Struthio camelus: one gene and its partners. The protein of the gene in region 1 interacts with the protein of each later gene in a biochemical or structural test. Links are inferred from orthologs where the notes say so. Each region holds a gene or a part of one and is shown in the gene's direction. Other genes may lie near its edges.

What was found.
Region 2: of the proteins of UBA1 (region 1) and UBE2T, one has a biochemical effect on the other in vitro, tested with the Homo sapiens proteins (4 studies listed by BioGRID, with this or other methods). The link is inferred for Struthio camelus from reciprocal best matches to the Homo sapiens genes UBA1 and UBE2T.
Region 3: of the proteins of UBA1 (region 1) and UBE2N, one has a biochemical effect on the other in vitro, tested with the Homo sapiens proteins (10 studies listed by BioGRID, with this or other methods). The link is inferred for Struthio camelus from reciprocal best matches to the Homo sapiens genes UBA1 and UBE2N.
Region 4: of the proteins of UBA1 (region 1) and ubiquitin-conjugating enzyme E2 E1, one has a biochemical effect on the other in vitro, tested with the Homo sapiens proteins (9 studies listed by BioGRID, with this or other methods). The link is inferred for Struthio camelus from reciprocal best matches to the Homo sapiens genes UBA1 and UBE2E1.

The regions. Positions count from the first base shown.
Region 1 is NC_090979.1:729,726-736,883, reverse strand, and holds the start of UBA1 (ubiquitin-like modifier-activating enzyme 1), read left to right. Parts: upstream 1-4,154; 5' UTR 4,155-4,173; intron 4,174-6,819; coding exon 6,820-6,939; intron 6,940-7,158. Other genes in the region: NDUFB11 (NADH dehydrogenase [ubiquinone] 1 beta subcomplex subunit 11, mitochondrial), read left to right, coding at 447-573. UniProt on the Homo sapiens protein: Catalyzes the first step in ubiquitin conjugation to mark cellular proteins for degradation through the ubiquitin-proteasome system.
Region 2 is NC_090965.1:3,944,273-3,952,017, forward strand, and holds the start of UBE2T (ubiquitin-conjugating enzyme E2 T), read left to right. Parts: upstream 1-4,736; 5' UTR 4,737-4,778; intron 4,779-5,516; 5' UTR 5,517-5,520; coding exon 5,521-5,629; intron 5,630-6,477; coding exon 6,478-6,547; intron 6,548-7,153; coding exon 7,154-7,259; intron 7,260-7,745. UniProt on the Homo sapiens protein: Accepts ubiquitin from the E1 complex and catalyzes its covalent attachment to other proteins. Catalyzes monoubiquitination. Involved in mitomycin-C (MMC)-induced DNA repair.
Region 3 is NC_090942.1:51,333,111-51,340,359, reverse strand, and holds the start of UBE2N (ubiquitin-conjugating enzyme E2 N), read left to right. Parts: upstream 1-4,245; 5' UTR 4,246-4,382; coding exon 4,383-4,412; intron 4,413-7,249. UniProt on the Homo sapiens protein: The UBE2V1-UBE2N and UBE2V2-UBE2N heterodimers catalyze the synthesis of non-canonical 'Lys-63'-linked polyubiquitin chains. This type of polyubiquitination does not lead to protein degradation by the proteasome.
Region 4 is NC_090943.1:44,085,972-44,093,978, forward strand, and holds the start of ubiquitin-conjugating enzyme E2 E1, read left to right. Parts: upstream 1-5,001; 5' UTR 5,002-5,022; coding exon 5,023-5,082; intron 5,083-5,244; exon of another isoform or gene 5,245-5,336; intron 5,337-6,227; coding exon 6,228-6,406; intron 6,407-8,007. UniProt on the Homo sapiens protein: Accepts ubiquitin from the E1 complex and catalyzes its covalent attachment to other proteins. Catalyzes the covalent attachment of ISG15 to other proteins. Mediates the selective degradation of short-lived and abnormal proteins.

The DNA.
Region 1 (7,158 bases):
GGTAGTTCCCGGACGCCTGGGCCCCCTTTTGACGTGGGCGCCCGGGACGCCTGGGTCCCCTTTTGGCATGGGCGCCTTTCGGAGGGGGTTCACCCGGACGCCTGGGCCCCTTGGAGGTTCACCCGGATGCCTGGGCCCCTTTTGGGAGGGCTCACCCGGACGCCTGGGCCCCTCAGAGGTTCACTGGGAGACCTGGGTCCCTTTTGGGGGGGGGGTTCCCCCGGACGCCTGGGCCCCTTGGAGGCTCACCCGGACACCTGGGCCCCTTTTGAGAGGGCTCACCCGGACGCCTGGGCCCCTTTGTGGGGTTTCCGGACGCCTGGGTCCCTTTTGGGGGGGGGGTCACCCAGACGCTTGGGTCCCTTTTGGGCGGTGGGGGTCACCCGGACGCCTGGACCCCTCGGAGGGTCACCCGGACGCCTGGGCCCCCCCCCCACCCCCGGCAGGCTGCGGCAGTGGGCGCGGCGGGAGGCCGAGCGGCAGATCCGGGCGCGCGAGGCCCAGGGGCTCCCGCTGGTGACGCCCGACTACTACGACCCGGCGCGGCTGCCCCTGCCCCCCGCCGGCGACTGACCCGGACGCCTGGGCCCCTTCGGCGCTACGACCGACCGCCTAGGACCGTTGATAACGGCCCGGACGCCTGGGCCCGTTCCTGCGTTTTGGAGAGGGGAAGAGGAATAATAAACGCCCGGACGCCTGGGCCCGCTTTGAGACGCTGCCCGGACGCCTGGGCCCACTTCTTTTTTGGGGGGGGGGGGGAAGAGGGGAAGGAATGCCCGGATGCCTGGGCCCCTGGTTGGGGGCGGGGGGTTCACCAGATGCCTGGGCCCCTGGTGGGGGGTTCACCCGGACACCTGGGTCCCTCTTGGGGGGGGGTTCACCCGGACACCTGGGTCCCTCTTGGGGGGGGTTCACCCGGATGCCTGGGTCCCTCTTGGGGGGGGTTCACCCGGATGCCTGGGTCCCTCTTAGGGGTCACCCGGACGCCTGGGCCCCTTTTGGGAAGGTCACCCGGATGCCTGGGCCCCCGTTTTGGGGGTCCCCGGACGCCTGGGCCCCTTGGAGGGTCACCCGGATGCCTGGGCCCCTTTTGGGGTTCACCCGGACGCCTGGGCCCCTTTAGGGGTGGTGGGGGGGGAGGGTGCCCGGACGCCTGGGCCCCTCCCGCCAGAAGGCGGCTGCCTGAGCCGCTGCCGGGCCGGGTCCGCCCGCCCCTTCCCGGCGGCCCCCGCGCGGCGCGGACTACAGCTCCCAGCAGCCCCCGCGGCGAGGCGCGCGGTGACGTCACCGCGGCCGCTTTTTTTCCCCCGGAGCCCGCCGGGTCCTAGAGCCGCCGCCGGGGGCCGCCCCGGCCCCTCTATAGCCCCTTATAGCCCCCCCTATAGGCTCCTATAGCCCCTTCCCCGGCCACTGCGGTCCCCTAAACCGCCCCAGAGCCCCCTATAGCCCCCATAAGTGCCTCGCAGCCCCTATAGCCCCCTATGGCCCCCATAGTTCCCGCAGCCCCTATAGGCCCCTCGCAGCCCCTATAGCCCCCTATGGCCCCCCATAGTTCCCGCAGCCCCTATAGGCCCCTCGCAGCCCTATAGCCCCCTATGGCCCCCCATAGTTCCTGCAGCCCCTATAGGCCCCTCGCAGCCTCTATAGCCCCCTATGGCCCCCCATAGTTCCCGCAGCCCCTATAGTCCCCCGTTGGCCCCCGCAGCCCCTATAGGCCCCTTGCAGCCCCTATAGCCCCCTATGGCCCCCCATAGTTCCCGCAGCCCCTATAGGCCCCTCGCAGCCCCTATAGCCCCCTATGGCCCCCCATAGTTCCCGCAGCCCCTATAGGCCCCTCGCAGCCCCTATAGCCCCCTATGGCCCCCCATAGTTCCCGCAGCCCCTATAGGCCCCTCACAGCCCCCCCTATGGCCCCCCATAGTTCCCGCAGCCCCTATAGTCCCCCGTTGGCCCCCGCAGCCCCTATAGGCCCCTTGCAGCCCCTATAGCCCCCTATGGCCCCCCATAGTTCCCGCAGCCCCCATAGGCCCCTCGCAGCCTCTATAGCCCCCTATGGCCCCCCATAGTTCCCGCAGCCCCTATAGCCCCCCGTTGTCCCTCGCAGACCCTATAGGCCCCTTGCAGCCCCTATAGCCCCCCATAGTTCCCGCACCCCCTATAGGCACAGCCCCACAACCCCCCGTAGCCGCTACGGCCCCCACGGCCTCTGTGGACCCCACAGTCCTTCAAACCCCTATAGGTCCCTGCAGCCCCTATAGGTCCCACACAGCTTCCCAGCCGCCTCGTTGCGATGAATCACTGCAGCTCTTGCAGCACCTACAGCCCCTATAGGTACCTTTGCTTCCAGAGGTACCATATGTCTGAAGTTTCTATAGGCACCTACAGTCTTTATGCCACTTGCATTGGCAAAGCCTCACTGGACCCTATAGGCTCTGCAGCTCCTATAGCTGCCATAGCTCCCCACGGTCCCCAGTGCCCCCCGCAGCCCACCCCAGCCCCTATAGGGCCCCCCCAGCCCTCAGAGGCCTCTGTAGTTCCCATAGTGCCTGCAGCCCCTATAGCCCCCGTGGCCCCTAAAGCCCCCCCCCAGGGCCCCTATAGGCCCCCCAGCCCCTAGAGTCCCCCACAGCCCCTATAGCCTCAATGGCCCCCAAAGCACCTATAGCACTTGTGCATACCATAGTTAGTATATTCATATAGGACTTCATAAACTGTTACAGTTTATATACTACCTGTAGCACCTATAAGGTCTGCCCAACAGATCAGGCCTTGTAAGTTCTCACAATCCTCTATATTTCCCCATCCCCTATAGCTCCCCCGGACCCTAAAGCCCCTATAGGCTCATATGGCCCCTATGAGACCCCAAAACCCCTATAGCCCCTATGACTCCCTATAGCCCCCCCAGCTCCTATAGGCCCCCAGGGCCCCTATGGGGCCCCACAACCCCTATAGGCCCCTCTAGCCCCCCCAGACCCTATAGGCCCCCTATGGGGCCCCACAACCCTTATAGGCCCCTATAGCCCCCCATGGCCCCCATGACCCCCTATAGGCCCCCCAGCCCCTATAGGCCCCCTATGGGGCCCCACAATGCCTATAGGCCCCATAGCCCCCCGTGGCCCCTATAGCCCCTATGACCCCCTCTAGCCCCCCCAGCCCCTATAGGCCCCCTATGGGGCCCCACAACCCCTATAGGCCCCATAGCCCCCCGTGGCCCCTATAGCCCCTATGACCCCCTATAGGCCCCCCAGCCCCTATAGGCCCCCTATGGGGCCCCACAATCCCTATAGCTCCTATGACCCCCTCTAGCCCCCCCAGCCCCTATAGGCCCCCTATGGGGCCCCACAACCCCTATAGGCCCCATAGCCCCCCGTGGCCCCTATGACCCCCTCTAGCCCCCCTAGCTCCTATAGGCCCCCTATGGAGCCCCACAACCCCTATAGGCCCCTATAGCCTCCCCATGGCCACTATGACCCCCTCTAGCCCCCCCAGCCCCTATAGGCCCCCTATGGGGCCCCACAACCCCTATAGGCCCCTATGACCCCCTCTAGCCCCCCCAGCCCCTATAGGCCCCCTATGGGGCCCCACAACCCCTATAGGCCCCTATAGCCTTCCCATGGTCCCCATGGCCCCCTATAGGCCCCCCAGCCCCTATAGGCCCCCTATGGGGCCCCACAACCCCTATAGGCCCCTATAGGCCCCCCCCATAGGCCCCTATGGGCCGCGTGGCCCCTACGGGCCCCCGTAGCGCCCCGCCGCCGCCGCCATGTGCGCGCGGGGAGCGCGGTGCTGCGTCACGAGGCCCCGCCCCCTCCCCCCGGCTTGGCGGCGCGCGCACGCGTAATGCGCAAGGGGCGGAGCTTCCCCCGGGCCGGCGGAGGGAGGGGGGGAAGAGCCCGCAACATCCGGGCACTCGGCGGCGGCCGGGGAAGGAAGGGAGGGGCGGGAGCGCGGGGGAGGGGGGGCGTGCCCGGCGGCGGCGGCGGCCAATGAGACGCGGGCGCGGCGGCGGCGGCGGCCAATGGGAGGGCGGCGGGGGCGGGGAGGGGCGGGGGGAGGAGGAGGAAGGGGAAAGGGAGGGCGGTTTTGTTCCGGCCCCGCCGCCGCCGCCATCTTGTCGCGGAGGAGCCGAGCGGAGCGGGCGGGACCCGGCGGCGGGCCTGGACAGCCTCATTGGTACGGGCCCCTCGCCGCCCCCTCCCCGCCGCCCCCGGCCCCGGCACCCCCCGGCGCCGGTTAATGCCCCCCCGGTGCCGGTAACCCCCCCCCGGTACCGGTAACCCCCCTCCGGTGCCGGTTATCCGCCCCCCGGTACCAGTAACCCCCCCCCGGTGCCGGTAACCCCCCCTCCGGTGCCGGTAACCCCCCCTCCGGTGCCGGTAACCCCCCCCCCGGTACCAGTAACCCCCCCCCGGTACCGGTTATCCGCCCCCCGGTGCCGGTTATCCGCCCCCCGGTGCCGGTTATCCGCCCCCCGGTGCCGGTAACCCCCCTCCGGTACCGGTTATCCGCCCCCCGGTACCGGTTATCCGCCCCCCGGTACCGGTTATCCGCCCCCCGGTGCCGGTAACCCCCCCCCGGTGCCGGTAACCCCCCCCCGGTGCCGGTTATCCGCCCCCCGGTGCCGGTTATCCCCCCCCCGGTGCCGGTTATCCGCCCCCCGGTGCCGGTTATCCGCCCCCCGGTGCCGGTAACCCCCCCCCGGTACCGGTAACCCCCCCCCGGTACCGGTTATCCGCCCCCCGGTACCGGTAACCCCCCCCCGGTGCCGGTAACCCCCCCCCGGTGCCGGTAACCCCCCCCCGGTGCCGGTTATCCGCCCCCCGGTGCCGGTTATCCCCCCCCCGGTGCCGGTAACCCCCCCCGGTGCCGGTTATCCGCCCCCCGGTGCCGGTTATCCGCCCCCCGGTACCGGTAACCCCCCTCCGGTGCCGGTTATCCGCCCCCCGGTACCGGTAACCCCCCCCCCCGGTACCGGTAACCCCCCCCCCCGGTGCCGGTAACCCCCCCCCTGGTACCGGTAACCCCCCCCTCCGGTACCGGTAACCCCCCCCCGGCGCCGGTAACCCCCCTCCAGTACCAGTAACCCCCCCCGGTGCCGGTAACCCCCCCCGGCGCCGGTAACCCCCCTCCGGTACCGGTTATCCCCCCCCCGGTACCGGTAACCCCCCCCCCCGGCGCCGGTAACCCCCCTCCGCTGCCGGTTATCCACCCCCCGGTGCCGGTTATCCGCCCCCCGGTGCCGGTAACCCCCCCCGGCGCCGGTAACCCCCCTCCGGTACCGGTTATCCGCCCCCCGGTACCGGTAACCCCCCCCCCCGGCGCCGGTAACCCCCCTCCGCTGCCGGTTATCCACCCCCCGGTGCCGGTTATCCGCCCCCCGGTGCCGGTAACCCCCCCCCGGCGCCGGTAACCCCCCTCCGGTACCGGTTATCCGCCCCCCGGTACCGGTAACCCCCCCCCCCCGGCGCCGGTAACCCCCCCCCGGTGCCGGTTATCCGCCCCCCGGTGCCGGTTATCCCCCCCCCGGTGCCGGTTATCCCCCCCCCCGGCGCCGGTAACCCCCCCCCCGGCGCCGGTAACCCCCCCCCCCCGGCGCCGGTAACCCCCCCCCCCGGCGCCGGTAACCCCCCCCCCCCGGTGCCGGTAACCCCCCCCCCCCGGTGCCGGTAACCCCCCCCCCCGGCGCCGGTTATTCCGCCCCCCCCCCGGCGCCGGTTATTCCGCCCCCCCCCCGGCGCCGGTTATTCCGCCCCCCCCCCCGGCGCCGGTTATTCCGCCCCCCCCCCCGGCGCCGGTTATTCCCCCCCCCCCCCGGCGCCGGTTATCCCCCCCCCCCGGCGCCGGTTATTCCCCCCCCCCCGGTGCCGGTTATTCCCCCCCCCCCCCCGGCGCCGGTAATCCCCCCCCTGGCGCCGGTAATCCCCCCCCCGGTACTGGTAACCCCCCCCCCCCCCCGGTACCGGTAACCCCCCCCCCGTACCGGTTCCCCCCCTCCCCCTCAGCACCAGGAAGCCCCGCCCCCCACCGGGAAGGCCCCGCCCCCCACGCGGGGAAGCCCCCACCCCCAACCAGTGTGCGGCGCCAATGTCACCCGGCACCACGTGGTGTCTCCCGGTGTCACCAGTACCACGGGGTGTCAGCCGGTGGCCCCCCCCGTGGCACCTGGTGTCACCCTACACCCCACCAGCCGTCACCCGGTACCCCCGGTGTCACCGTTTTCTTTCCGCCGGGTGTTGCTGGTGGTACCCTGCCCCCCCCCCCGGTGTCACCTGGTGTCACCCTACATCTCCCACGTGTCACCTGGTGTTTCCCCCCCCCCCCCCCGTGGTACTTGGTGTCACACTACACCCTGCTGAGCATCACCCGATACTCCTAGTGTCAACCGATCCCCTCCCCCGGGTGTTGCTGGTGGCACCCTGCACCCCCCCGGTTTCACCCTACATCTCCCACATGTCACCCGGTGCCTGCTGGGTGTCACCCGGTGCCTCAGGGTTGTCACCCGGTGTCCGCGGTACAGCCGTACACCCTCCTCGCTGGCCCCCGGTGTCTCCCTGGCGTCACCCTCCATCCTCGTGGTGTCACCTCGTGTCTCCCAGGCGTCACCTGGGTGTCACCGGTGTCACCCTACATCTCCTCCAGCTCCACCCGGTGTCACCCACTGTCACCCGGCGCCGCTCTCTGCCCCCCCATCACCGGCGTCCCCCAACATCCCTCCCGCTGCCGCCCTGCGCCCCCCATAGCGTCACCTCCCCCCCCCCACAAGTCCCTCCTGGCGTCAGCCGGTGCCGCCGGCGTCACCCGGTGTCACCCGCCCCGCAGATGTCCAGCTCCCCGCTGTCGAAGAAGCGCCGCGTGTCCGGGTCTGAGCCGCCGACGGGCTCCAACCGCGCCGCCGTCCCCAGCGTCCCGCCCGCGTCACCCAGCGCCACCCCCGCCAACGTGAGTGCCGCCCCGCCCCGCCCGCTGCCACCCCCGGGGGTGCCCCGGGCCCCCGCCGCCCCCTGCGTCGCGCGCGCCCCGCGGTTGTCACCCGCTTGCCGTGCGGTGTCAACCGGTGTCGCTCGGCGTCAGCTGGTGTCGCCTGTGTCAACCCCCCGGGGTGCTGCGCCCCCCCAACAACAGAAGAGTCGCCGACTGTCACCTGGTTGTCAGCTGCTG
Region 2 (7,745 bases), on another chromosome or scaffold:
CTGGCGTCTTTCTGAGATCTCTTAAAAGAGAAACTGTTGTCTTTTGGGATTCCCAATCACTATTAAAGAACAAGGTCAATTAGCAATTAGAAACAGAGCTCTGAACAATTCTCAGTCCTTTCCATCGCAAGTCTGGTCTGCGTTGTAACAAACTTTCATGAGAGAGAAAAGCAGAAACAGGACCAAGCTGCTCCTCCTCCATCACATACCTACATGCCAGGTCCCACCATTCAGCAACTGTATCACCACCTAGCTGCACAGAAAACAGTTCTTCACCAAATGAATCACTCAAGCCCCAAAATTAAAACCCTAACGTTCAATTACGTGCTGATAGTGCTCACCAGAAGGAAGGAATCAAAACAGACAGAGCTGCTGGAGTTGCATTTACTGCAATAACATTCTGAAACATCATTGCTGATGGGGCCTGCAGCATCTGTCAGCAAACTCTCCATAGACCACAGCAAGATGATTCAAGAACAAAGAGCCTTGTGGCTGCAGAACCTCTGCTGCCTTTTGCACACAATGGGCTCACAGGGAGAACAGTTCTGCAGGAGCCTTCATCCCATCAAAGACCCGATGTAGCACTCGCCCTAGGAGCAAAGCGCCTTTCTGGATTGCTGCAGGAGGCAGATCTGAAAGGCACGACACGTCTGCTCACTTTACGCGGCAGTAAGGCTGCAAGGTGAAATAACAAAAAGCAAAGCACAGCCCAACACTGATACAGGAGCACATACTGCTATTCTGACAACATCGCTTTCTTACTCAGGATGCTGGCTGGAAAACATATGCTGTGAGAGGAAGGTCCTGTCCTGAGCTCAGGTTTGCCACTTTCTCACCAAGTGACACATCACGTTCTCCATCCCATCAACAAGATTTTAAGTTGTTTTAAGGAGAGCTATCCTGGCTGGCTGCAAAACCTGCATGAGCAGCTCAGAGGAAAAATCCATCAAACACATAAGCCCAAAGAAACATATAAGCCTCAGTTTCCCACTGGTTTTATCCACTCTTCCTAGCCCCAGGAGATCACTCTGTGCCTCTAAGTTTCAGGCGAAAAGCTCTCCTCTCCCTGTGGCAAAGCTACATAACAATAACTGTACAAAACTACCACTTTTCTAAGATAAGGCTGATGTAGGAATTAACATACGTTAATTTCCCCTTGAACTGTTTCAGCTGAGTTTAGGAAACTTGCAGGAGGGCTGACCTTGGCTCTCAGTCTGAGAAGCTGCTCGTTGCCCTGCTCATGGAGTGATGGAGTCAGAGCAAACGGCAGCAGACACGACTAGCTCAGCCAGCGCCTTGGGTTTGTGCCAAAGCCTCGATGTGCCAACATCCTTCCCAACCTGCTCTCTTCCACGTTCTCTCTGTGGCCATGTGCAAGGAGTGAAGCTCATTTCCCATCTCCGAGGTGGTGTTCACACCTGCTTCTAATTTTTAGCATTACCAGGCAAACAAGAATTAAGGGATTAGACCAGCACAGAAACAAACAATATTCTCTAATCCAGTTCAGCTCTTCCAGCCAAATTGCGCTATTCACACCCTCCTAAATGGCCCAAATAGGTGACTTGCTCAGCCCATAATCAACAGCTTTACCAGCCTCCTAAAAGATGATCTGACTTGCCCTCTTCCCAAAACACCACCATCAGCATTACTGAGACAAACCCAATTGCGCTCCCAAGCCACGATGCAGCGCACTGCAACTTCCCAATAACCTAAACCCGCAAACTCACAGGCTTGCAAGAGCCCAGCAGCGCAGCACACAGCCAAGCATGGGGATTTGGGCTTTGCAGGAAGCTCTGTGCTGAGCCTTGGTTCCGGCATTGAGGCTTCCAGGGAGGAGACCATGGTACCACCCTGCCGTGGCACCACCCCTTTGTTGCAGAAGAACAGGAAAAACAAGGTGACTTTCCCATGTGCTCAGCACCCAGCCAGCCAGCGTTTTTGGGTAACAAATCACAGCAAAGGCGCTAAAACAGTCCCTGGCATGCCATTGCAGGGGCACAGCAGCCCGCCTGCATCAGCTGGCCTTATGGCTCTGCAGACTATGGGGCTGCCGCAAGCCCGGAGCCCCGCAACCTCATATAGCTTATGGGGCAGCCCCCAGCTCACAGCCCCACACAGCCTATGGGGCCACCCTAAGCCTGGGGCCCTGCAGAGCCTATGGGGCTGCCCCAAGCACAGGGCCCCATGGGCCCCCACAGCTCAGGGGGCAAACCTGAACTCAGGCGCCACACGTTACGTGTGGCCACTCCGAGCCCAGGGTGTCACAGCCCCACACAGCCCTCGGCGCTGCCCGAAGCGTGGGGCCTCTGCGCGGAGCCACCCCGGGGGCATCCCTGCCCTGCGGGAATGGAGCCACCCGTGCTGCTCCAGCCGGGCCGCTCGGACCATTCCACCTGCCAGAGGTGGGGGGAGCGCTACCTGCAGGGTGGACAGGGCAGTGCCATGGGGACACACCAGTATCGGGACTGGGAGATACTGGGTGAGGGGGGCCATTGGGTCTGGGGGCTCAGAGGGCTTGGAGGTGATGGGAGACCCCAGGGGGCAGGTGAGGGGCAGCTCTGGGGGATCCCAGTGCAGGGGACTGGGGGTAATGGGTGGTACTGGTGCAGGGGCCAGGAGTAGTGGGGGGTCCCACACTGGTGAGCGGGGCTGTGCTGGGCCACGCTGGTGAGGGGATGAGCTGGGACCCAGGGCGGCGGTGGGAGTTAACGAGGAGGGATTGGGTGCGCAGGCCCACTGGTGGCATCAGAGACGAGGCTCGTTACACCAGAGGCGATGCTGTCGACAACGAGGCTGTTACACCGGTGGGGACAGTCAGAAATGAGGCTGCTACACCAGAGGCAACACCGCACCAGGAGCCCGCGGGGGCCCTCAGAAACAGGCTGCCTCGTCGGGAGGAAGGGGAAGACCCCCTGGGCCGGGGGTGATGGAGGGGAAGGTGGAGCAGATGTCGTCAGTCACCTTCAGTTAGGATTTATCCAGTTGTTCTTCTAACTCGCAGCGAACCAGCGGCAGGAGGCTGTTCGCTCAGCAAGAGCGGGCCGACCCCCGGCCGTGCCTGCGTTACCTCTGTTAACTGAAAATCAGCCAACTCCGAGGAAAACGTGCCTTGCACTGGACGTAGCCACACAGTTTGGGAGAGGCGCGCTGCGACACAGAGCAGGGAACAGCCCGAATCGCAAGGCTGAGCCTTACCTTGCGGGTTACCGGCAGCCGCCCGACCCGCTGGGATGGGAAACCCCACCAGGACTGATGGCACCTCTCCCGCCGGGAAGTGTTTCCCTCCGTACGCAGAGGTCCACTGGAGGGATGTGGCGGTCACCGGAGCATCACCGTCTGTATCCAGCCTCGCCGGTCCTGCAAGCATTGGGAAATTCATCAGCCAGGTTTAAACATGCCTAAATATCGGTGCATAAACGCACGCATAGAGGTGTTTTGAGCAGCTCAAGGCTTTTGCGCAATCGCTGATAGAGGAGAAGGATGGCAGAGCGCTCCCAGCCCTCCCGCCGGCTGCCTCCCCGAGCCCACGGAGCAAGATCGGCCGCGTACAAAGCGGGGCCTACGGGCTCCTCTAGGAAGGAAAGCTTCAACGTTAAAAAAAAAAAATTCCCTCTGTGGACGCTCTCTGTCCTCCAGTTTATTTAGTTAAATCCACTGCCCACTGAGGAAGGGACAGCGCTGCAGTTATAAAGCTTTATAGAGGCGCGTGTCGGCCAGCTGGCTTTGCAAGTGGCACCCGAAACCGCGTGCTTGGGCTTCTGAAGCTTAATTACTGTCACCATGAAGCCGTTCGATTGTCTTCTAATTTGACCGGCTTTCAAACAATCCCTTACCTGGCCCTGAAACAGAATGCATTTCTGTGTTAACGGGGTTACATAAACCCAGGCTGGGTACTGGGTCAGACCCGAGGCTGCCTTTGCTCTAACACCTCCAAGCTACTCATCTCGCGGCGGCAGGCGAAGGCGACGCAACGCTGACGGGCGGCGTCTGCCAAGAGAAAACCCTCCAGTCGCCTCGCCCGGGGAAGCGGACGCGCGAGGGCGTCGGGAACGGGGAGGGGGGGAAGAAGGGGTCGGGCAGAGCGGTCACCCAAGGCCGCCGCCAGGCCGGGAGCTGCCCGGGCCTCGGGGCACCTTTCTCCTCACGGCCGGATTAACCCCCCTCCCCCGCCCCGGTGGACGCTTACCTCCTCCCCGGGGGGCCGGCGGCGGGAGCTTACGCAACGCCGGCCGCTCATCGCGGCAGAGGAGGGGCCTCCGGGCGGGGCGGGGCGCGCTCGGCTGGCCACCGGGGCCGAAGCGCTCCTTCGGTCTGCGGGTGCTTGGGGTGCTTTCTCGCTGCGTTTATGGGGCTGACTGGGGCGGGCAGGGTGAGGGGCCGCCGCTCCCGCTCCCCCACTGTCCCACACGCCCCCGCGGCCGCTCCCGCTCCCCCACTGTCCCACACGCCCCCGCGGCCGCCCCTACCCTCCCTTCGCCCCCTGCCCGGCTCTCTCACAGGCCCCCGCGGTCGCCCCCACTCCCGTCCCGCCCCCTCCGCGGCCCGGCCCGGCCCTGGGGGCGTGGCTAGCGCGCCCGCCTGCGCGGCTCCTCCAATGGCAGCGCGCCTTCCCTTCGAATTCGAGCGACCGCCTCGGGGGGGGGCGAGGTTTTCTGGTGGCCAATCAGCGCCGTGAAAGGGGGCGGGGGGGGTCCCGCCGTTGCCAGGCAGCGGGGGGCGGGGGGTGGAGAGTCTGGCGTTCCCGCGCGCTGCCGCCGCCGCCGCCGCCTGCTGCGAGGGTGAGGGGGGGCCCGGCCGGGAGGGGGGGGTTGTTTAGGCTGAGGGGGGCTCCCAGGCCGTGGGGTGCTGGTTCGGCCGAGGGGGGAGAAGGTGACTCCTGGCAGCGTTAAGGCGGGGGTGCGGGGGGTCGGTAGCCCCCAGGGGGCCTCCGGGTTCCTTGAAGGGGGGGGAAGGCCCTGGGGGAAGGGGGTGTCGCCGCCCGGAGGGGCATCGCTGTCCCTGAGGCACCTCTGGGGGAATTGGGGGGGGGGTCCCTTCACGGAGGAAGGGGCAGAGCCGCCCCTTCGGGGTGGGGGGTGGAGCCGGGGGGCACCGGTGGGGGCCGAGGGGGGTGGTCGGCCCTGGCCGGACGGTGGGTGCCCCGTGGGCAATAATTCGTCGCCCACCCCCGGGGAGCGAGGGGCGCCCCAGGGCTGGACAGTCCCTCTCGGGGTGTCAAGTGCAGTCATGGACTAGGAGGGTCTGTTAGGCTCAGCTGGGCCCTGGGGCGATGGGACTGGTTTGGAAGGGGGGTTTGGTTCCCCCCCTCCAGCTGAGTGCCAGGAAGAGCACTAGGAGCAGGCTCGGCCTCGCAGAGGGGTGAGAGTCTGGGATTCGCATTAAGGCAACTGCTAAAGCGTGGATAAATTTGAAACCTGAGTTAATTCTCCGTAGCTAAAAACGTCTCAATACGAGATGCTGTTCATGAAGGGGCAGCAGCGCTGCCAGCTATAAAATTCAGTCTCTTGTGATTTCAGCACAATGCAAAGAGCATCGCGACTGAAGAGGGAGCTCTCTCTCCTGACCACAGAGCCACCTCCAGGCATTACCTGCTGGCAAAACGAAAACCAGCTAGATGATCTACGAGCTCGTATGTACCTTTCTGGTGGGGCCTTTGAGTAAGGGATGCGCTAGAATTTACTGCTAGACTGGATTTGTTGGGGGGGGGGGGGGGGCGGCATAAGCTTTATAGGCTGCATGGAGTTGTGGAGTTCTTGGGAAATGCTTAGGCTCTTTTTTAGCTTTCCTTTTAATATAATTTAGCCTATGGCTCTTAGGAACAGTTCATATTCTGGCTCTGAGTTTGAGAAGGAACATGAAAAGAAGCAGTACTGGATGTTTTTACCCTTCCTTATGCTAACTGTTTTCCTACCTTTATGCAAAATGCCACCTGTTGGTGCTGAGCTTCTGTTCTCTATTGTTTCTTCTAGCTATTGTTGTATTATGACTTGCAGACTGGAACCTGATCTTTCTCTCCTTCAAAAGTTGAAACTGGCACTTGCTTTAAAGCGTTGCAGCAAACAGGGAGAAGATATCTAGAGTTGGCCACAGTGTGAAGACAAAAGCTCAGCCAGCAGGAGTTAGTGAAACGTCACATCTTCTCCCAGCCTTTCACTTGCTTGCACAGAGCATAACTCAGCTGAGCGCTAGTAATGCAGACTGTATGTGGCAATCCCATCCTTGCTTGATTTTTCTTTTATCTTGTCCTCCCCCATTCCTTTTAATTTAGCTTTTATAATTAAATATTGTTTGGACCCTCTGTAGGTCAGGCTACCGTTTTGACTACATGGAGCTGAGAGTGGTTTCGTGATAAGGTGGCAGCTTTTTTGGTGGATCTCAGCAGCGTTACAGTTGCGTAACTGGGTGTTATGTGGAAATTGTTGGACAAGTTCAAGTGTTTTGAATGTAATCCTTGTGTTTTAATATTGTTTTTTAAAGAGATTTTAGGAAGTGCAGAGACGCCATATGAGAAGGGAATATTCAACCTGGAAATACTTGTTCCTGAAAGGTAAGTGGGCAGTGACATGAAGTTACTCTAGTCAAGGAAGTAGAGTAGTGTTTTTCCTTCAAATATAAGTTAACTCATGCAAGATGGTTGATAGAAGTATGCCAAAAAGCAGAATTAGCTTATTGGAGATAGAGTACTAGTGCTTAGATCTTTCCTTAAGCCTCCTCACAAAGAATGTGTTGATTAGCTTTAGGTGAGGCCCTTCATCTATGGAATGTAATTTTTATTTCAGTTTGCTAATATGCTTATTTCACTTTGGAAGCACCAAGGTGTGTGATTAACAATCTAAAAATGTTTTGATAAGATCTCTAGCTTACTGTATCATTTCAAAGCTTTCTGAAAAGTAGCTCAGTCACGAGTAGAAAACCTCCTATCACATTTGCCTCTTTGTGGAGAGCTATCTACCTAGAAAGTGCTAGACAGAGACAGCTGAAAGCATCAAAGGCAGAGTGGTCAGGCATAGCATTGCTTTCTCCAAAAACTTGTGGGAAAGGACACCAGTTAGTAAATGGCTGGGAGAAGAAAATGATGGCATTACTTGGGTGATGTGGCAAATGGAATACAAATATAAAAAGAACCTTTTTTTTTTTTTTCTATCCTTTATAGATACCCATTTGAGCCCCCAAAGATTCGCTTTCTGACCCCTATCTATCATCCTAACATTGACTCCGCTGGAAGGATTTGCCTGGATGTTCTTAAATTACCACCAAAGGTAAGATAGTGCTACTTGTGCAAGGGTAAGTGAGCCTGAAGAGGATAATTAACTCCTTATCTTTTTGCCTGTAAAAGCCTTACTAAATGTCTGTCTGCTACTGACTTATGTACGTAGGAACACACGAGTAAAGTTTGTGTGTGGCATCTCCTTTGTTTAGAGACTGGAACACAGGCACCTTGTTCCATGTAAGCTTCCAAGGCTTTAAGGATTGGAGCCAAAAGGTGTTAGGAGGCCTCTGAAAAAACAGCCTGGATATCCCAATACTGACACAGTACAGATGTGTAGGACACAACCTGTGGTTGTCAGTTGGGCTTCCTTGGAGAGGCTGCACCCTAGGTGTTGAGAATAGATCAGGTGTTTTCCATGTGGGTTTAACTGTTCTCTGCTTCCCACAGGTGGCTCCCACCTCTGTTGTAGTGTGTGGAGGCTGGTAAATGCTGTAAATCCTGAGGTTTCTCTAGGTAGCCTGTGTGCGGGTTTCTT
Region 3 (7,249 bases), on another chromosome or scaffold:
AATCCCAGGTTGAGTCAGGGAAGGCAGCTGTCTAAATGAGGATGCAAGACTTCATTATAATACTCTGGATGAAAGCGGATCATTTTTTTTCCCATCAAATCTTTATTTTAGCAAAAAAGGATGGTTGAAATACTTTGCACGTTTTGACAAACTACACAGATAACACTGTGGAAATCTAGTTTTTCAGATCTACTTTTTTTCCCCTCCTTTTCTCCTTTCGGGCCCCATGACTACCGAGAAACTTCTAACTTTCTTTAGGTAGTTTTAATGGTACTGCTATATGTGGCTTTGCAAAGTCTTTCTTGAAGAAAAAAGAAATAAGATAAGAAACCTCTGTGCCATACTGCTCAAAATATATGATCTGGCAGGGAAGAATAAACACATTTTAGTGATAATCTTGAACTCCAGAGCGGGAGTGTTGGAGTATCGTTCTACCAATGGAAGTGAAGAGCAGAGCCATACTGCACTGGGTCACCAGGGGCGCTTCTCCAAGGAAGCCTTCCAAGGGACATGCCAAATGGAGGCTAAGCAGATCAGAGCTGTGTAGGCTGCAGTCCAGATTACAATGGCAATAATGGCTGAGTGGAAAATCCTATGTTTGGAAGGACACTGGGGTGGCAAACAACTGGAAGATGCGAGAATCTCAGTGGAACATGGCTAGTATAAGGGACAAAGCTCCCTGGGCACTTACATGTCTTGGGTTCCAGCTCTGATTTAGAGGTTTAGGTTGGGATTCCTTTGGGAATTTTAGAAGATTATAAAAGAAGGATATTTTTTACTGTATCCCGTCATGGAAGATATCACTTGGTACGGGAGCAGCGCAACGAGCCAAAGTCTAAAGCCAGGATTCTGGAGTAGCCAGTCTGGATGGCTTTTTTGGCACCCATATGGATACTCAGGGATCTCTGCAGCAACTCTTCTAGGGAGCTAGAATGACTTATGGGAAGGACCTAAATTTTGGTAGATAGGAGAGTAGAAAACAAGATTTTTGTTCACTGTCATCTCTGAGCAAGTGGACTAGAAAAACCTCTTTCTAAAATGAGGCAGAAAGAGAGGAGTCATGAAAGCTGCAAATTTTCCAGCATGTGACAGGCCACTTATTGAGCAATGAAAACTATCAAAACACAATAGCTTGCCAGACAGACTTGTTGCAGCCCCAGACTGAAGTGAGATTCTTGGTCTACAACACCTGTAAGGGAACACTGAAGACAGTGTTCCTCAGCATTTGTCTGAGCCAACTATGCTCCACTCTCTCGCTGCCCCCAGCAGATGAAGAGCAAGGTTCACAGAGCAGAAGCTGCAGCACTTTCAAGAAAGTAGGTTGCACTTTATTCGCACACTGAGCCTGAATTCACCTTTTGGCCTGTGTTTTTTCCTCCGCTAACGCCAGCTCTTTAATGGTCAGTATTCCAGGAGAAGGATAAAAGAAAACAATGACAAATAGGAGGCAGAAACAAAGAAAAAGAAGTAATTCGGCAAGCAGAGTAACAACAGAGTTTGTTTTTTAATGGCTTTGGTCTTGAAGCTATGGCCCACTGAAGATTCTCTGATGTCTAATAAGACTTGGTGTCATGGAGTCTTTCCCCCTATGGGACTACCAACTTCCATTTCCTCTCTCTGCCTATTTTCATAAAATTCACAAGGAATCAGCCTCTCCACCTGTATTTTCAGATTTGGTTGATGCTGGCAAGTATGTACAAGGGTTACTAGGGTAGGGCAGAAGTCTTTCTGGTTTTGGTTCCTAAACTGCCTACAGTATTATGTGAAGTTCAGATAACGTGGAGAGAACATTATAAATAACTTAGATATATATGTTCCTCCTGCATATGTCAGCATACTGGCTAAGTCAGAATTGAGACTCCTAGTTATTACTGGGTGTCATAGCAACATGATTAGAAATATTTTCAATTATTCATGAAGCCTCAAGATTATATGAATGTTAATTCTATCTTTTCCATAACCCTCCACCCTCCGCTTTCTCTCCTGACTCCCTAAGCAAAGTTAGCTGTAATCCCATTCCTCAAAAGCAATTAGATGCTTTAACCCGTCCTCATGCTGCACAGTGGTAAGCACTTATTTATATGCTGGTCAACACTACATTGTGCTTGTCACTACATTTTTTTAATTCATTTACACTGCCACTGCTCTCCCAAGTGACAGACATTTTGAGAAGACATTACTATGTTTAGGCCTTTAAAAATTTACTGCAAAGTAAACCTGCATCTGTGAAGATCTGCGTACCAGAAATGGGTACTAAATATAGCCCCCACAATTTTTCAATGAAATAAGGATTGCTGGATAGCAGTTTTAGTACCACACGGGTTCTAAACCTGCCACATGAGCCCAGGCTGGAAATTTCAAGTTTAAAATGCCTGAGGTTTACATTTGCCCATATCAAGCACATTCTGCATAGCACAAATTTCTTTTAGACTCGTTGTCCCTGTTACATTTCAAAGAGGTGGGAAGCTGCAGTACAGTCACTTGGGAGAGACTTCACATCTGTGTGTGTGATTTCTCCTATTTGAATAAAAAAACAGCCATCAATCAATAAATCACCAATACCGCTAACCACCAGAATCAAACAATAAGACACTGTGCATCATCAAGAGGAGAACCCACGCAGCCTATATTATAACTGTTTATTATAAAGCACCAAGTATGCTACAGATACTTACATACCTGTGAAGCTAGGGAAAAACTGGGTTAATATCCAGTCGATAAAACAGGCTCCACCTTACAAATTTTTTCTCTAGAGATCAATGTTTCACCTTTTCAGGTCAGATGATAAGTCTTGTAAAGGGGATGATTACATAAAAATATCTAAGCAATCGAGTTTAGTCATACTTATGTAGTAGCAACAGGTTGTAATAATTAAGCAAATGAAAAATCCACACTTAAAAAAATTTGAGTTCAATGTATAAGCAGCAAGATGAGGATGTGCTAAAGGACCACATTTAAACACAGCGAATTTGCCAATAACACATGCAAACAAACTCACCCTACCCACTGTAGAATGAGGGAGGTTCTTTAACCCACATTCTGCAAACATGTTTTCATGCACTTGTGTTGCATGTCACCTCGATGTTGATTTTCCTGACTTCTGAGAAAGTTACAGCATTAAAGTTAGGAAAGCAATGAAGTGTTTAAAGGGCTGAGGATGTATACAAGAGTTTACAGAGGTACATATCTTTAATGAATTTGCATGAAATTTGAAATTACTGGTGTGTACAACCAGTTGAGGATACCGAATAGTGAAGCACAACTCAATACTTGTTAGTTGGCTTCTGTAGTGCCAATGGCTCAGAGAGCAGGACAAAGAAGAAAAACTAGGTCTGTTGTTGGGAAATATTGTGGGGAGGGTGAAGGAAGACACACCACTCTTCTGACATCTGTTATCATAACCACCATGTAATATGTCTGCCAAAAAAAAAAGCTATAAAATGTCTGTAGTCTCTGTGATAACAGCCTGTCAGCAATTACACATTCCAGATTTCAGTGTCAGAGCGCTTGCCACTCTACTAGAGCATATGGAAATGGCATAGGCCATCTACAAGTCCTGTTTCGAAGCCAGGAGAAAACACTTGACAGGGAATCACGTATCCCGGTCCGATTCCTGGCTGTGCTGCTAGCCTGCTTGGCAACCTATGGCAAACGGCATTGTCCCTATTTCCCATCATCAGTACAGCAGCAATAATGATGTGAGGTACTAGATGCTACTACTACTGCTGCACAGCTCTAGCAGTGTGTCACGGGATGCTCGCGTGATACTTACACTTACCTAAACGACCTCTAACTTTACACAAGGAATCTTTCGGCCAAAAAGAAGGAAATTCACAAAGTCATGATGTTCTAAGATGCCTTGGTGACTGCGGACTTTAGGGACACGCTTAGGGCCTAAGAGCAGGAAGCGGGCACCGTGCTGGCGCCCGGCACACGCTGATGAAGCCTCGACCCGGTCCGTGCCGAGCGACCGCCGGCAGGTGGCTGCGGCCCCTGAGGCTGCAGCCGACGGCACACGGCTCTCCCGCGGGGCTGCTTCCCCGTAACCGGGGCCGGCTCGGCAGCCCCACACGTCTGCTGCCCGCCTCGCCCTCCCCCGCCATCTTACACCCGCCTCGCGCCGCCCGTTGCTAACGGACGCCCGGCGGCGGCGCTGATGGCCCGCTGCCTCCCGCCGGCGCCCGGCGGCAGCTGCGGGCGGCGGGCAGGGCCCCGGCCCGGCCCGGCGCGGCTCGGCCTACGTTGCCCGGCGTGCCGCGGGCGGCGCCGGCGGAGGGCGGCGCCACCGGAAGCGCGGCGCGGGCTACTTCCGGCTGCGCGTGAGCCCCGAGCGGAGGCGAGACTCACGGAGCCTGCACCGCACCGCACCGCGACGCGACAAGATGGCCGGGCTGCCCCGCAGGATCATCAAGGTGCCGCCGCCGCCGTCACCGCCGCCGCTCCGCGGGAGGGAGGGGGGCCGGGCTGGGGCCCGCACCGCCGGCAGGGCAGGGAGCGCCGCTTCCGCTGACCGGGAGCGGGGCCGCGCGGGGGGAGGGGCGCGGCCGCCGGGCCGGTCCGGTCCGGTCCCGTTCGGTCCGGTCCGGTCCGGGCGGTCCTCCTCGGTACCCCCGCCATGCTGCGGCGGGCACCGCGGCCGCCGGGCCGGGGCGCGGCCTGGGCGCCGCGGCGGGAATGAATGGGAGCGCGGGGCCGGGCCTGCGCCGCCGCCGCCGCAGGCTCCGCGCCCGCCCGCGGGGGGCCGCGGCCTGCGCTGCTTCTGCCGGCCTGGTCCGGCCCGGCCCGGCTGCCGGGGAGGGCCGCGCCGCGCAGCGCCGGCCGAGGCCCGGGTACCGCGGCGGCGCTTAACGCGCGGAGGCCGGCGCCTGTAGGCCGGCCGGCCGCGGCCGCGGCGGGGGAGAGCCTGGCGGCCGCAGAGCTGCGGGGCCCGCGGCGGGGGGAGGCTGCCTGGTTTTAGCGCTTGTGCGAGGAAGGCTGCGCTGTGCGAGCGCTTGACCCGCGTCCTGAGGCGTGCGGAGGAAGGCGTTCCTGCTACTGTGAGTTAGGCTAACCTGGCGGCTGTTAAGCGCCCTCCGAGTTACCGGCTTTTAGATGATGGGTGTGTTAGCGCTGGGTGTTCAGTGCCTTACTTTGACTTACTTACCAAGCTCTGTAAGAACTGTCAACTTCGGGGTACTTCTGGCTGACCCTCTGAGTGCTTTATCACCTTAAGACTTGAGTGACTTGGACTGGAGGCACTCAAGGCGGATACTGTTAGCTGCACTGCAGCGCCAACGTGAGTCTTCTCCAGTGGCTTGGTCCTGTAGCCAGCGTGCATGCTTGTGCTGGGCTGCTAACTCCTGCTCTGTTCGCAGAAGTGTGACCTGAAGCTCTCGAATTGGTGATCAGTACTTTTGTAAGAGTTACTAAGTTATCCCACTAAGGTTCATTAGTCTTCATTGGAAATAATAGCACCATTGTTTCTCATTCGAGTGAATGAATGCCACAAATAATTTATAACACTGTGAAGCTCTTGTTGGTTGAGCACACTGAAAGTTGGCAACCGTTGTAAAACGCTAGAACACAGAATATGCTAAATATGCTTTAAAGGCAATCCAGTGTTATCTTTGCTTTGACTAAAGTTATATAATAGGTGAATAGAGGAGATGACGGAAAAACAAGGCAGGAGTAGCATTTAGCCTGTGTGAGGCAAAGACTAAATTATGCTTACTGCTCAGAATGGTAAGCAGTAGAAAGAATGAAGACAAATCTTATAGACTGAATTAATTTGATGCTCATCCAGCTGCCTTGGTGCACAGCATACAATGCTGAATATATCTCAGGTATGAGAGAGAACACTGTTTCATAATACAGTGGAACTGGTATTCATCATGAAGTGGTAAGAACTTGGCCACGAAGCTGATGTCCGTGTGTGTGGTTCCCCCTCCCCCCTCCCATGTTTTTAATAATTCTTGTGAACACAACCAAGAGATCCACGGTCCTGTAAGCTGGCACATAAGTCCCTTGGCATTTTTTCTTCAGCCACTTTTTGAAGAGGAGAAAAAAAAAAAGGAGCAATTCACACAACTTATTTCCAAGATGTGTAATGGCATGGGAATGCTTTCTGCTGCCCTAGGAAAGAGCAGGGGAGGAAGGGCAGCAGACAAAAAAGACCTAAAAACTCCAGTTTTCATGGAGGAGGGAATCCACCTCTAGACTCTTACAGGATTATTGTCTATGATAGGTTGGTGTGGGTTGTTTATTTCTGTATGTGCTTTATATATTGTCTGCAGGCAATCTATAGCTTTTGAATCCTGGATTAGTTGTGTTATGATGAACAGCTCCTGTACTGTGCTCGCCCTAGGTCGCTAGATGCGCATACAGTTTAGGATTTGAATGACTAGCTATTGTAGTCTCAAAAATGTGCGGAGTACTGTTTTGAAATGTCATAGCTGCAGAGGTGAAAACTTAACCTGCTTCAGTCTTTAGGAGAGACTCTTGGATGAGAATTTTTTTGACCTTTGCTATCCTGCTAACTCTAACATTAGAGTTAAATATTCTGTTGCTGGTTGCCTTAGATGGAAAGGAATGAGTAAATTCCACTGCTACTGGTAATTTAAAAAATCAGGAAAGGAAAAGGAAGAGAGAAAGATAGGTCAGAGAAAAGGGACGAGCCATAGAAGGCTGAAATAGCTGTAGAATCAGAAGATCCCCTTTTCTTTTTGCATAGTAACAAATGTACACAAGTAAATGGCTTTAGGAAAAGACCTTTTCCCTCTGATCTGTGTGCAGGCTTGGTATTGTCTAGCTACGGCCTATTGAGCATAGGGAATCGTGTGTATATTCTGACCATAATGAAATGCAGAATCTAGCCAACTGCTTGAAATGAGGTTGGCATTCCTCTTTTTGACCGACTGCTGGCAGATGGCCTGGCTCTCGGGTTGACTAGCAGCCCTGTGCTCTTCAGCCTGTTTGTTAGTTATGTGCAAACTGTGGCCTAGCCCAGTAGGAGAGCAGTAGCTTTCCCTGTCTCTGCGGAGCGCTCTGTTTTCAGTACTTCCCCAAATTCGGTTAAAAAGGTCACAGTATAGGTCCTGCTAAGGGTTTGAAACAGAGGATGCAGATTTACGCCTAGTTTTCAGATTTTCTGTCCTCAGATTAGTTACTTAGGAACGTAGGGTTTAAGCAACCAGCGTGAATGAATGAATCTGTAAGCTCAAGAGATGACTTGCTTTAGAGGTATGACTTAGTGGTGTTAGAACGTCACAAA
Region 4 (8,007 bases), on another chromosome or scaffold:
GATACAATTCTAAGGATTAAGAGTCATATTGTTCAAGAGAATTACAGCAAGGGAAGTTGGAATGCATCATTAATTTATGGGAAGATAGTGGTAAGAAGGAAGCCATAGGGTAAGCCTGTAAGTTCACTACCCTTATGTCATAGAAATGAGCACTTGAGTTTCCTCTGTTACATTTTCTCTCATTTGAATACAGTTCCTCTTTTGTTCCCACTCAGAGTTTCCACCTAGCTTTATTCAAACAGCTGTGTCATAAGTCCTGAGCTAGTGAGCTAGTCATAACTTTTCCTTGCTGCCTGACATTGTATAATAGGGTCACAAAGAAAGGACAAAGTTTGTCATCACAAGTCTGCGCGAGGTATCAGTTTGTTTCAGGCATTCCTGCTTGCGAGCGTGACATTAGCAGCGAGCTGACTTTAGGAGACCCAAACAGGTGATTGTTTCTTTTCTGCTCTTCACAAAAGGCCTGATGCAAAACTCACTGGAGCTGGTGGAGAGGCTCACAGAGATGTAAGGGGCTTTGGCTCAGGCCCAAACAGACCAGCCAGCAATAATGCTGAGAATGTATCTGGAGTTGAGATAGTACAAAGGGACTAATCCTAGTCACCTTCCTTTAACAGCAGGCTCAGTGTGATTTGAATTGGCTAGCTTCTGCCGTGAATTAAGCTCAAAGCCCCAAAGGCAACTCGATTCTAGTCATCTAGCCTTGCAGCCTCCTCCAAATTTAATCCAGAGGGAAAATTGACTAATCCTATTCAGTTGCTACACTGAGCTAGTGCCATGGATTAAAAAAACTTGGGGCACAGGGAGACTGAGTAATCTGGGTCAGTTTTCCTTTGCAAGTCCTTTGCAGAACTTGACAAAGAAAAGGGGGGGGGGGGGACTGTTGAGAAGGAAAGGTCACTTGCTAAAGTGAACGCACACTTTACCAAAAAAAAAAAAAAAAAAGGCAGCAGGCAATCAGTGAGGTTTTGTCAAAATTCCCAAGATGGAAAGAGGTTGGATTAGGGGAGCTAGTCTTCCTTTTTTTCTGGAGTAAGGACCATGTCCTCGACTCTTTTCCGGTTCTTCAGTGTCCACGCAGGACTGAGAGGACAATCATGGGCTGGAGCAAGGCAAGCCGCAAAAATGCTTCTGGAGAGTGGATGGCACATTAGTTGGCTTCTTGGCTGCAGTCAAGAGAACAGCACGTTGGCTGATCTCTGAGGTGAGTCATGAAATGGAAGTTGCCCCTGTAACAGCTGCTCAAGTAATGACATTAGTAGGTGCTTTCAGAGAATGCATTTTTAGGTAAGCTTCAAAGTAAATAACCACTGCTGCTGGTCATCATTTTACTGTGAACAGGGTTACCCACGACTGTGTGCTGCAACAAAAGGTTAGTTTATTGATAACCCCCTATGAAGGTTATTAACATAAAAAAAGGAAAAAATGTGTGTGGGATTTTGTAATAATCTTTGCATTTTCTCTGCCCTCTATTACAGAAGTGGAGGGCTTTCATTATTAATCTGTTGTCTCATTTGACTTTGGTGCATGTTTCCTGTGATGACAGGAATGGACTGGAGGTTTGTTTTTAGTGAAAGTGAAGAATTTCTGTTTTTAAAAATTTGTTCCATAAGCAGTGAACTTTGTGAAGCCTGATCACCTGCTTTGTGTCCTCTTGTCTCCTGCGTTTGCTTGATACGTACCACTACATTCCCAGTTCCATCCTCCACTGCCTTCACAGGCTAGTTTGGAGAATGCTGACAGGCTGGCTGATTGCTGTTGGATATAAAGTAGCTGAATTCTGCGCCCCCCCCCCCTTCAGTGAGGAGCACTAAGTGATACAGCTCTCCCTCCTTTATCTAAATGCCAGTTTTCATGAAATTTATTTGCCTTTGAGGCCTTTGTTTAATGGCAGATATGCCAAAGCTCCAAAGTTATTGGGAGGAAGGATGACCACGAGTTCAAAAGCTTTGTTCCCATAGTTGAAAGTAGAAAGGTGGGCTCTGCTAGCAAGCTGCTTCTGGAGGCCAATTCACCACGGTCTACGTACTGCAGGTAACAAAGACTGAAGAGGAGGGTTAGCAAAAAACAACAACAACAGGAAATGTGAAATTGTAGTGGAATTCCTTATTTTGTCAGAAAGGACTCTTACAATGTCATTGGTGTATCCTCCTAATATACTGTGCTATTTAACTACACAGGAGAGTGGGCAGCAAGTTTGGGGAGAAGCTTTGGGAAACCCACGTGAAATGAGGTGCTGCTGAGTGGTGCAGAAAGAGAGAGGGGAAAGAGAAAGTGGAGAGGGAAACAGCACATGCACTGTACCAAGGAAATGGAGGGAAAGGTGACAAAAGGAAACACTGTCCTCACGTGGGTGTCCCTTCCAGGGGCGCCTCTGACCCAAGGATCACTGGATTGAAATGGTGAAAGGTCAGTGTCACGACCACAATGATTAGTTACAAACCTGTGAAGCCACGGCCTCGTGGAGGAGGGGCTCAACAGCCCCAGGCAGCTGTGCTTTCAGCTGGCCCAACACCCCTTTTCTTGAGGAAAATCCCCCAAAGTGCCCCCAAAAGAAGCCACGGGCGTTCTGCATCTGACCCAACCCAACATTTAGGTTTTCATCCCCGTTCAAGTCTGTGACCTCGCAAAAGGAGCAGGTGCCCCAGAAGAGGTCCACCGCCAGGGTCAGCTTCACATCGCCCGCCCCACCAGGGCGTCCTAGGGCAGCCCCCGCAGCAGAGCTGCCCCGGCCATTTCAACTTTGTGTTAACGCCGCAGGCTCAACGAGGCGGGATGCCCGTGCCGGCGAGCGGAGGGCTGGAGGGCTGGGTCTCGGGGGAGCCTGAGGGCAGCACCCCGAGGAGGCACCTTGCCATGGGGGGCTCCGACAAGCCGGGCGGCAGGGGGACCCACAGCGCGGGGGGCTCCTCAGGGCGCCCAACGGTCGCCCCCCCCGCCGCGCGCTGCCCCGTTAACGGCCGCCGCCCGCTGGGGCCATCTTGACGCGAGGGGGCAGGGTGCAGCACCTCCCTGCCGGCGGGGCCCGGAGCCGGCGACCGCGGCGCTGTCCCCGGGCTGGGCGGGCAGCACCGTGTCACCCAGCCGGGGTCATGCGGTGAAAGCCCGAGACGGGAAGGCTGGGTTTTCAAAAGTAGTCAGCGCCCGGCTCCCTTCCTCCTTCCTCTCCCCCCCCCCGCCCGGAGGGGCTCTAACCAGAGGTGTCCCTCGCCCCACGCCGCGCGGGGGGGGGTCGCGGTGTCCCTCCGTGCCCTGCGGGCTACGGTTATATAATGTAACCCCTTAGACTCCTGAGGCGTGACGTCGTCATGTCGCTGGCCGTGCTTTTGTCCGAATATCGCGCATTTCAGCCTGCAGATCACTTTGGAGGTCCTGGAAACCGAAAGAACGATGACAAATACGAAGCCCTATTCATTACGATGCTGGACGGTGGAGATGGTCATTATATTTTCGGCCACTAAAGATATCAAGTAATTCGATATGTGATCTCTTGATATGCTATGGAAACTGATGGCACTGAGCCAAATTTATCCCGGAAAAGTCGATAGGAATGCTCATTCCTATTGTCCCTTCAGGAATAGGTCCAGCACTTCAATTAAGAGCTATGGCAACCTACAAGGACTACAGGGAAAGGTGACCGAGTGTACTGTTCTTCTGAACATGTGGTAGGTATGGTGGGTCACTCTTGCCAAATTACTTTTTTTTCGCTTCGTGGGCAGAGAGTGAGCGAGCGACAGCAAAGATTTGGGGGAGAAGAGTAAAAAGCCTCGAAAATCCAGTACAACAGCACTCCAGTCGACTGAATGCAGCGCCCGTCATGCACACGGGCTCCCAATTTGGGGACTTAAAAAAAAAAATGAAAAAAAGAAAAAATCCCTATTACTTCTACCTTGGGAAAACCGAAGCAGCGTTTTTTCTTTTCTGTGGCTGCCAAGCCCCGAGCCCAGGATTTTGTTTTCTCTCCCAGCATGCGTTGATGACATCACGAAGTGCCCCTTCTTTGTGTGTCAGTGATGTCACCAAGTGCAGTGTGGGGGACAATGGAATCCTGAACTCCGGGCGAAGGCAAGTGGGAAGCGGCTGCTCCTGCTGTTGATCCAGGGCTGATCCAGGAGAGGGAAGGGAAGAAACAGCTGCTGCTTTAGGGCTGGAACAGGTGAGAGGTGGAAAAGCTGCTGAGGGGATCCTTTTTGGCTTGGTTGTGGTGGGGGGTTTGGACTGGGCTTCTTTCTTTCTTTCTTTCTTTCTTTCTCTTTTTTATTGCTTTCCAACTGAGACAGGTGAGAAGTTGCTGCTGCTGCTGGAGGGACAAAGCAGATGAGGAAAGGGAGAAGCTTTGGGGCTGAAACAGTTGCAAGAACAAGGGGAAAACAACCAGCCTCCCCCCCCCACACACCCTGATAATCGTCTCTCAGCCTTAAAAAAGCAGCACCAGGAGCTTGTCCCCTCTCCCTGCCACCTGCCTCGAGCTTGTCCCCTTGGGGCTTTCGCCCTGAAGCAGAAAGCACAGCCGGGGGCGGGGGGGGGAGGGTGTTTATTCCTCACCCCCCCTTCACACCTTCGCAGATTACTTTCCAGGGGGTCTCCATTACAAACTCACGTCCCTGCCCCCCTCCATTGCCCCTTTCCTCCATCGCGGCGGGGGGGTTGCGGCTGCTGGGATCCCCCCGCCAGCCCCGGAGCCGGGGCTCGGCCGCCGCCGCCGCCGCTCGGTTCCCCCTCGGCCCGGCCCGGCCCGACCCGGCTCCGTGCGAGGCCGCGGCGGATCGCGCCCCCCCCCCGCCGCCCACCGAGCCCCCGCTCGGTGTTGGGGGGGAAGGCAGCCAGGGAAGCCATTGCCTGTTTAATAGTTGCTGTTGCAGCACTTCCGCTTCTCTCCCAGCGAGAGAGACACGAGTGGCCAGGCCCAGCCGCACCGAGGAGGAGCAGCCAGACACAAAGGGAGAGGTAGGGGCACGGGGGACCCCCCGCTGCCCTCCCCGCCGGCCCGGCCGGCCCCCGGGGGCAGGGGCTGGCCCGGCGATGGGCAGGGAGGCAGGCAGGCAGGCGGCGGGCCAGAGGGATCCTGCCCGGGGCTGTCAGGTACCGCTGTCCCCCCGGCCCCGGCGCTGCCCGGCCCTGCGGGGCCCGCGGCCGGGGGGGCAGCGCGGCGGCAGCAGCCCCCGGCCGCCGGCTCCCTCCCCGCCGCCGCCCGGGTCGGCCCGTGTGCCGCCCCCCCCCCCCCCCCGCGCCCGGCCGCGGCTCGGCCGCCGGCCCCGCAGCTGCCCCCTCTGCCCGCACACGCTCCCGAGGCGCCGGCGCACCTCCCTGCCCCAGCACTTTGTGCCCCCTCTCGGGTAGGGACCTGCTTTCGGCCGCCCGCCGCGCTCGCCCTCCGGCCCTGTCCCCCGGGGGCACCGAGGTGCCCTCCGGACCCGGCTGTCCTCGCCCCGCTGCTCTCCTCGCTGCCCCCTGCCTCCCCCGGCCCTCCCCAGGCCCTCTGCTCTCACCCCTTGTAGGCCCTGGCCCTTCTGCTCTCCTCCCCCACCAGCACAGACCCTTTGCTCCCTTTCCCCTTTGCTGGCGTGCCCCCCCGGTGCCCTGGGCCTCAGTGGGTCCCCTCTGCGTACTCCAGCCCCTATTTAGCTGTTCCTTTTTTTTTTTCTCCCACCCTTCCCCCCTCTCCCCACATGCTCCTGACACCAGATCCAGCAGGCACAGGTTTCTTCCCCTGCAGGTTACAGATCCTCCTTTGGGGTGTCCCCCTGTTGCTGGTGATGCCCCACTTTTATTTTAGTGCTGGCAGCAGTGTCCTTCTTGTCCCTTCCCACCTTCCCCGCGTGCTTGCAGGGGACGCAAGAGATCGAAGCTGCTCTGTTTTTATTTCCTGCACCCCTAGGCTGGATAGTGGTGGGTGGTGATGGCTCTTCTTGTGTGTGCAGTTTCAGGGAAGATTAAAAGGAACTGCTTTGGGCTTCCCTGATCCTTGCAGTCCAGTCCCTTCTCCTCTTACTCCTCGTTTGCTTTCTGAGAGTCCCTTTAAAAGTCCCTTCCTCCTCAGTGTTGCTAGTGCAGGGGAGGCTACTGCTCCTCCTGCTTGGACTGTAGGACCTGAAGAGGCGAGGGAGACAAGAGGACCCTTTAAAAGGAACATGACCCAGACACAGAGCAAGATTGTCAGCTGCCTTTCTCTGTGTGTGTTTGTGTTCACTGTTTGTTCCCCACGCCCCATGGTGTCTCCTCTCCAGGTTGGGGTGTGTGGTGGGGGGGTCGCTATGTCGGATGACGATTCAAGGGCCAGCACCAGCTCCTCCTCATCTTCATCCTCCAACCAACAGACAGAGAAAGAGGCAAGCACACCTAAGAAGAAGGAAAGCAAAGTCAGCATGAGTAAAAACTCTAAGCTGCTATCTACCAGTGCCAAGAGGTGAGGCTGCAGCTAGATTTTTTTTTTTTTACTACTTCACTCTATCTTTTCTCCTTCCTCATTTTCTTTTGCTCCTTTTTCTTGCTGCTCCCTTGTTGCTCCCATTCCTCATCTCTAGCACTTATGTTCAACCTTTCCACAGAAAGCTGCCATCATCTCACTTTTTTCAGCATCTCTGTGCAGTAAGGAGTGTCTGCCTGACATTGCTGTTCTGTGATCTCTCTCCTTGCTTCTTCTTCCATTCCATCCCAAATATTTTTCTTTCTTTTTCTCCAGGCTGTTTTTCTATCCTCCAATTATTTTCACTGTCTTCTCCCTTTTCCTTAATAACATTGGATATAGGGATGTTTTAGGAATGACGTTTGGGAGCTTAATTCCTTTTCTGCTACTGGAAGCTATGTGGTCTTGAGTAGCATATTTAATTTCTATATCAGTTTCCCTCTCTGTAGAAAGGGGTTGATATATAATGGCTTTTTAGTTCCAGAACTACTCTGAGGATTAATTAATGTTTGTGAAGAATTTTGAGTTCTCTTAATGAAAGAAAGTGTAGATGAGTGCAAGTGGTGTAGTATAGTGCCAAATCTTTTCCACCAAATACATTACTATTTTCCTATCTGCTCATCACTTGTATTAATTTTTTTCTGTATAGCTGTACATTGACTAGAATAAATAATCCACAACACGTCCCCCTGCGGACATTCTGTTCCAAAATGTTTTTTTCTTACAAGGCAAGATGGCTTTCTTGAGGGGAAAATATTACTTTTATTCCAGAATAATGTCTATATTGGGGAGAGATGCCTGCATAGAATGCCTGCATAGTAGTAATTCCAGAACAGCTACATCAGTCAGTTTTCTTCACCTGGACAGACTGTTGGAGTCATTCAGTTAAAACGTTATTGCCCTTTCTTATTTACTCTGTGGTGCAATTTAGCACCATCCTGTTCCAGAAAGCTAAGCTGGCAAATGAAGTTCTCAAGCAAACTTTCAGTATTTCAATAAGAGTTAACAGTCTGTCTCACTGAAAAGCTTTGTCAAGCAGCACAGAAAGGTTATATCTGTAGATGTCAAAAATGACTGGGGTTTTATGCAAATGCTCTGCCATCACAACTAAGAGTTCTCTGTGGCTTTGTAGAATTTAGGCAGTTTGGTTATTCCACATCTCCATTCAGCATGTTTCCTTGGGAAACTTGTATAGATAGTGGCAAGTGGTGTTTACATGTGGTTCCCTTAGCTATTTTGAAAATAAGATAGTTTTAAAAGCCTGCTAATTGTGAAGTGTCTAATACAAAAAGACTAGGGTTCTTATTGCGTGTGACAGCTAGAAGAGAGGCAGAAGATGCTGGTTGAGTTTAAAGGGGAAGAGAGGCAGACTGAGTGCTGGGTGGGGAAATTTGGAGGGGAAGCTTGAGTGACAGTAATGGGACTCCAGGGAAGGGGATGATAGCTGGTTGGGCGTTTTGTGGCAAAAGCAGTGTGATGCTATGTGAGCCCAGAATAGGCTGGTGAGGGAGGGCAGGGTGTTGTCTGAATGTGGTGAAGAGAGGAGCGGCTGAAGTCTTGAGGGAAGGAACATGGTTGTTGTATGGTTTTTTGGAGGTGAG